Kluyveromyces lactis: one gene and its partner. The protein of the gene in region 1 interacts with the protein of each later gene in a pairwise test. Links are inferred from orthologs where the notes say so. Each region holds a gene or a part of one and is shown on either strand. Other genes may lie near its edges.

What was found.
Region 2: the proteins of MAK5 (region 1) and RPF1 interact in binary tests that used the Saccharomyces cerevisiae proteins (3 or more experiments, as listed by UniProt). The link is inferred for Kluyveromyces lactis from reciprocal best matches to the Saccharomyces cerevisiae genes MAK5 and RPF1.

What each region holds. Positions count from the first base shown.
Region 1 is NC_006039.1:966,387-970,874, forward strand, and holds MAK5 (ATP-dependent RNA helicase), read right to left. Parts: upstream 3,072-4,488; coding exon 681-3,071; downstream 1-680. Other genes in the region: SUP45 (translation termination factor eRF1), read left to right, coding at 1-454; BMT2 (25S rRNA (adenine2142-N1)-methyltransferase), read left to right, coding at 3,403-4,467. UniProt on the Saccharomyces cerevisiae protein: ATP-binding RNA helicase involved in the biogenesis of 60S ribosomal subunits and is required for the normal formation of 25S and 5.8S rRNAs. Required for the maintenance of dsRNA killer plasmid.
Region 2 is NC_006042.1:2,012,224-2,015,120, forward strand, and holds RPF1 (rRNA-binding ribosome biosynthesis protein RPF1), read right to left. Parts: upstream 1,393-2,897; coding exon 514-1,392; downstream 1-513. Other genes in the region: KLLA0_F21692g (pleiotropic drug resistance family ABC transporter), read right to left, coding at 1,929-2,897. UniProt on the Saccharomyces cerevisiae protein: Essential protein. Required for biogenesis of the 60S ribosomal subunit.

The DNA of each region.
Region 1 (4,488 bases):
CGATCAAATCTCTCAAGATACTGGTAAATACTGCTACGGTATCGAAGATACTCTAAAGGCTTTGGATTTGGGTGCTGTTGAAATTTTGATTGTTTTTGAAAATCTAGAAACCATCAGATATGTATACAGGGACTCTGAAGATAAAGAAGTACTAAAATTCGTCGAACCAGAGGAACAAGACAAATCATACTCTCTTGATAAAACTACCGGAGCAGAAATGGACTTGGTCTCTGAACAACCATTAATTGAATGGCTTGCGGAAAATTACAAAAACTACGGTGCCAATCTAGAATTCATTACCGATAAATCCTCTGAAGGTGCTCAATTCGTTACTGGTTTCGGTGGTATTGGTGCGCTACTTCGTTATAAAGTCAACTTCGAACAATTGATGGAAGATTCAGATGATGAATATTATGATGAAAATGAAGATGATGATGACTACGATTTCATTTAAACCTCTTCAGTCAAGCGATGTATAAATAGTGTTTATAAATATATATCTTTCTTTTCATTCTTTTCTTTATCATAAGTATCACCAAGATATATTTGATTAAGTTGTATTTGCAAGACATTACATATTTTTCATGCAATTCAAACATTCTTCACACTCCGACAACGACTGTTGTATTGGGAATATATATGTTTTCCTATTTTTATTTCTCTATAGCAGATAAAGGGCTTCATTTATGCTTCTTGCCCTTGAGTGTTTGCAATGCATCCACTTTATCATGTCCAATAATGGAATTGTGACCTTTATGTTTGACTAAAGTGTCAGCGAGATTGGTCAGACCTCCTGTTAGATAGCTTTTTCTTAAATCTTTTCTTAGTGGCATTTTTAATAACTCGTTGAGCTGGTATTTTAGAGCCTTATTTTCATTCTTTTCCAACTGTTTATTCAACTTTTTGGTTTTGTTTCTAGCTAAAAATTGGTCCTTTTCCTCTTCTTCTGAATCTAATTCAATATCCAATTCTTCAGCAGCCTTTTTTAACCAATTATCATCCTTATGTAGTGATTTCGTTGCTATCTCATCATCAGCAAGTTCGCTCGCTATCTTGCTTCTTTCTCTCAGCTGAGAAACGATGTCAGGCTCAAGTGGTAACATTGGGACATCATTCTGCCATTTTGTTTTCCTGGGGTTACTACTCTTCTTGGTAGATAACACCTTTCTGAGCTTTCTTAAAGGTCCCATGGATTCCTGTGGTGAACAAATCATGACAGAAACACCTTCATTATCACCACGGGCTGTTCTTCCACTTCTGTGGATATATACGTCAGCACTGCGGGGTAAGTGATAGTGTAAAACATGTTTGATACCCGAGATGTCCAATCCTCTAGCAGCGACGTCACTAGCAATTAAAATTGTTGGTTTTCCTACCTTGCTATTTTTCTCTGATTGTTCTTTGAACTTTTCAAGGTTCCTAAGACGATTTTTTTGAGCCATTGATGAATGGATCTGGAATGACGAAATCTTTAGATTGTTTAAAAATGCATTCAACTTTTTGACGCTATCTATAGCGTTACAAAATACTAAAGTTGTGCCAGGATACATCATGATAAAGTAGTAGACATATAAGTCACGCTCCATTGGCAAACATTCTATCAGGGATTCTTTGACCTGAGATGTAACTTTATGTTCAGGATTAGTATCGATAATAACTGGCTTAGATTTGAATTGAATTTTCTTCATCAAATGATTTAAAACTTGTTCCATTTCATTGTTCTCCCCACCGGCTGTTTTAAGGATTTTCCATGAAGTTTTATCTAATTTCGTGAAAAGATCCAATGAAAATGTGGCAGAGAAAATCATTGTTTGCCATCCACTTCCAGTTGGCTTTCCGTCGATACTTGTTTTAATTTTTCGGGCTTTCCCTAATAACTTCAAAATTTTCTCGAATTCATCGAAATGTCCGTCTTGTAGTAGTCTGTCTGCCTCATCAAGAACTAAAGTGTCAATTTTGGCAAACCTAGGAATCAGATCTGGGTTCCTTTCTAATAATTCCAAAAATCTACCAGGAGTTGCCACAATGATTCTACCAGAACCATCATATTTTAAGATACGTTCTTGTTTCTGAATCGACAAACCACCTGTTAGTGAAAGAATCGTGTACTTGTTAAGCTTATTCATTTTCGTCCAAACCTTTTGCAAATGGTCAGTTACTTGATGGGCCAATTCTCTAGTTGGGGTAAATATCAAGCCGATAGACCTATCATTTGATGTGTCTTTAATTAATTGTTCAATGATAGGAATACCATATGCTAAAGTCTTACCGGAACCTGTGCTAGCCTTACCCATGATATTATGTCCTTTCAGAGCTAAAGGAATAGATTTCAATTGAATTTCTGTAGGCCTGGTGAAGCCAAGCCCAGAGAGTCCTTTCAGCACTGTGAATGAGAGATCCATATTTTCGGACCACTCAGGAAGTACTGGAGGCTCTTGATCATCGATATCGACGTTAGAGGAAAATACGTTGCTCTGTAATAAGTCATCATTTGTTTGATCTTCAGTGACAACAGTACCTGCTTCCCCCTTAACATTTTCCTTCTCGGATCTTTCTTCTTCTTGATCTTCTGCTTCTTCTCCCTCTTCTCCTTCTTCTTCAGTGGACACATGGAACTCGCTCTCTTCATCATCCGAAGCTGCACTTAACTCACCCTCCTTGATATCGTCAAAATTCTTGAATTCAATTAATTCATCCATGTTGACATCTTCATCATCCTCTTGGAAAACGATATTATCCTTTTCCTCCACTTGCTCCGGCTCTTTCTTAACGTTCTTGTTATCTTTCGTGATGAACTGGACTTTACCGTCGACAACTTTCACATCCACACCATCGATTTCTTCTAATCCGTAGAAACCACCGAAATCATCTAAAGTATCTGGAATATCAACACTCTTCCAATTCAACTCATTAGCATTAACAGTGATATCTGTAGTGGCTACTTTCTTAAGGCTATTCTTATTAACCTTCTTCTTTGAATGATTCTTTGAAATACGGTCTTTCCTATCACTTTTAACAGGCTTCAAGTTCTTGCGATTCTTATTCGCCATTTTTGAAACACCGTATACCATTATTATTTCTGTCCTTTTCTTATACAGAATGAGGTCGACAACAATTAATTACCGAGAAACTTATTGTTCATGCACACGTATGCTGGTATCTCTTCTATCTCATCTCATCTCATCTCTTGGAGCTTCTTTCTCAAGATTTTCTAGAAAGTCGAAAAGAAACGATTCTATTTATGTTACCCGGATATGTCTTAAAAACTGTCCAACTCTTACATAACCGTCTGGTAAACATGATGGTATTGAAGCGAGATGAGCATCTCTCAACAAAACAGGTAAGGGCCACTCGGGTTATAACCCTCAACTTATACGTGAAAAATCTTATTACGTTGTTCCAATGCTCTCTCGAAGAAAGAGGACCATAACTGGAAAACCTGTTGCGAAACATGTACCGAAGATCAAACCTTCCAAGGCCAGGAAGATAATTAGACGTTTCCATCTATTGATTCAGAAGAGAAGAGTGATATGCAACAAGCTGCGATGTGATATAGTAGAAAACGATGAAGAGGCCAACGCTATTAATATTGAGAATTTTTTCCGAAAGAATAAAACTTTACAGGAAGATTTTAATAAGGGCAAAAAGTCTAGACGACCAAATCCAAGATTAGAGGAATTACTTGTTCATGTGCAAAGCATTGAACACAGTCAGCAATTATGTCAAATTCTTGGTTATATATGTGGAGAAATTGAAGAAGATGGCGGTTTGCAGAATTACCAATTTGCTAGTACAGTTGGTCAGGATTCCAACAGAGGTGGTGATTCATCTAAACAATTGGTAAAGTGGTGCAAAGAACTCGGGGTGGATAAAGCTCTGGGTATGAATGCGTTGGAATTGGGATCCCTTAGTGCGAAAAATCATATTTCTGTGTGTGGTCTCTTTAATCCCGTTGTTAGGATTGATCTTAACTCAAATGATACTGTAAATATTGAAAGGCAGGATTTCATGAAAAGACCATTACCAAAGGATGAATCGCAGAGATTTGACCTGATATCATGCTCACTTGTATTGAATTTCGTGCCGACACCCCTTCAAAGAGGCCAAATGATACTTCGATTCAAACAGTTTCTGAAATGTAACAAGAAAACGTATTTGTTTCTAGTTATACCTCTACCTTGCTTGACGAACTCAAGATACATGACTAAAGACAGATTCAATGAAATCATGCATGCGCTAGGGTATAGAAAAATAAGATTTAAAGAAGCAAAGAAGGTGGCTTATTGGCTTTACGAACTCGAACAATCTGAAAACACAATGTGTTCCTCACAAAATATGAACCAATTCGCCAAAAAAGCAAAATTATTGGACAAACCAGGCATGAACAACTTTTCAATTACATTTCCAAACAGGCAACCTTCCCATCAAGGCATTTATACAACGACCAAGCCCCTGTTCTCTAGGTAATAACGGCGGTATCTATGTGTA
Region 2 (2,897 bases), on another chromosome or scaffold:
GTCCAGAATCAACGTTAAGATGCTGAAAACAAAAGAGAGGTAATAGCAACAGTGTACAAAAAAAAGAGTAAAGTGGCTTAGTGTTTTTACTGTCAGTGTTTACTTTCCCAGTGATCGATCGTGTTAATAATTCCTTTCCAATAAAACAACAATAACAAACAGCCTGAAAAAATACTTTTTCTTAGATTGCAATCGATCAAATATAATGACCAAGAATATGACAATCCTAAAGAGCAATTAGTGTACCACCTCTTCAGATCAACAGAGTAACCGTTTGTTTCAATTAATCTTTTCAACAGTGGGCTTGTACTCATTTAAGCCCAAAACATTCCAAATCCTTTAAAGGTTTCAATGCCCTGTTTTCTTTAAAGCCAAGGAATTTCTCATTTTGCCACCACTTTTCGTCAGCCTCGTGAGTAGTGATGATAATACCGTCAAATCTTTGATAAATCTCCAAGTGCAGGACTAGTACACAGGTGGCTTTGAATTTGTATATAAATATATGCAAATATATCATAGATTGAACTTCTTCTTTTCTTTGTCCATTGAAGGTTTGTGTTCCCATTCTGTTTCCTCTTTGATACCTCTTTGTAGTCTTTTGAGTTTCATAGTAAATTGGGGCCCAAGTTCTTGAAGACCTACTTTCTCTTCGTTCCTGAAAACGTAACGGTGTCTGCGGAAGAAGATGTAATCTCTTTGATTATGCAGCGTTATCACTTGTCTACCTTCGAAATCAGGGTTCTTAGGGAAAATAGATTGGAATAGTTTACCCACAGTTTTACCAAGTCTGGTGTTGAAATTGTTCAAGATTAACTCTGGAATATGGCTAGTTGGTCTACCATGGCCCACGATCTTTTCGACTTCGACGAAAGAACTTATTTTGAAATAAAAGGTTGGCCCCTCTGGAAGATGAATAAATGTAAGCCCCGTTACTTTCTTCTTATCTTCATTTATTATCACGATATCTGTATAGTTCCTGTTATTACAGAATTCAGAGATTTCCTTCAGCTTGTATCCAAATTTCCTCTTCACGAAAGTCACATTAGGGAAAACTTCGATCAGGATATTAGCGAACTCATATGCCTTCTTTTTGGCGTTTACATTAGTTGTTAATAGAATCTTTGGTGGTTCGGTACCGTTGAAAAATTTCATAAAATCATCCATTTCACCTTCGACTTCTTGACCCATCGTTTCATCGTAAACTCTGAGGTTATCAATTGTGTCAGGAACATTTTCAGCAAGTCTTTTTTCCTTCAATTCCGGATTCTCACGTTCTTCCTTGGCTCTGGTCCTCCTCATAGAATGACGCTCCTTATTGTGCTGATCCTTCAACTCAGCAAAGAGTTTTTGCCTCTTCTGCTTGTTTTTTATTCTGAGTTCATCCACTGCCATTTTGAAATTATAGTATCGTCCGATTTGCTGTTATGCACCCTCGCTATTTGACCTAGAATAAGCTACATAACTAGCTATGTTCCACTATATTCAACTTCTATCTTGTTAGCCTCATCTCATCTCATCTCATCTCATCTGATCAATACAAAAACTTTCAAAATTTTGGAAAGCTAATTTTCGATAAAAAGAAAAGAGTTCACATTCGTCGCTGCAATCATTGTAGGAAGGGTGAGCTGACGAATATCCCATCAAAGGATCTTGATTACCTCAACGACCATCCACAACAGAGATCCATGCTAAAATTGAATAATTTTCGTACTTGCAATCGAGTTATATTGGGACTTTATATGCAATCGAAGTTTCTTTTTTTGGTTTCCATAGTAATATATGGGGAAACCAGATATCAATTCAGGTCTATATATACAGAATAAACAAAATATTAAAGCAGAACGCAAGCCCACGATAAGAAATGAAGTTTAATAGTTAAAAAAAAACAGAAGTAAACGACGTAAAAATTGGCCAAAAAGCAAAAATCCTTAAACTTGTTCATTGGATTGAGGTTCAACCTTTTCCTTTTGAACATTTTCAATTTTCTTGCCATGATCTGGGTCTCTCTCATCAGCCACTCTGTTCTTCTTCTTTGGAACTCTAGCCAACCAGTATAGGAAAACACAACCGCACCAGTTGAACACAATGAAGACTATGAAAATACCGAAATTTCTCCATCTTCTATGGTACGAAGATTGGAAACTTGTCAAAAATGCGTTTGTTTCAGAAATCTTACAGAAATTACAATCTTCCGTAGCATTTGAATCTAGTAGATAACCACCATTCTTGTCAATATAGTCCGCCATGTACTCACCACAGGTTTCTCCACTCCTTGGATTAAAGCTGACGTATTCATAGTTTGCGCATGTTACAGGGTTGTTTGCAAGACCAGTTGAGAGTACACCATCAATAAAGTAAGTTAGCGGTGAAATACGGTACATGAAAATCCAGAACCCTGGCAAAACACCAGAACCACCAAACACACCACAGAAATTCAAGGACATAGTGAACATTAATGATGCCATATTACCTGCAGCCTCAGCATACTGAAGACCTGCAATACACAATTGACCCATTGAACTGATAAATACGTAGAAGGAAACAGAGAATAACCAGAATAACACACCTCTTTCGTTTAATTGACCGGCATATGACGCATTGTTGTAGAAACCAATAGGATAGTAGAAAACGAAGAAGGCAATGGTACCAAAACATATGTTAAGTGGAATTTCAACGGTGATTTGAGAGAAGATAAATGCCAGCCAAGAAAATGTTCTACTTGGACGTTCCCTAGCTTCGTACAAGTCTCTTTGAGAGACGAACAAAGGCAAGTATTGTTGACAAGCTGGATTAAAGATAACTGTGAATGTGAAGATAGCGAATAATTGATTCTGCAAACCTTGAATGGATAAGTTAGCCTTGAAAAATGTGAAACCAATAAACAACTGCGAGAAGAT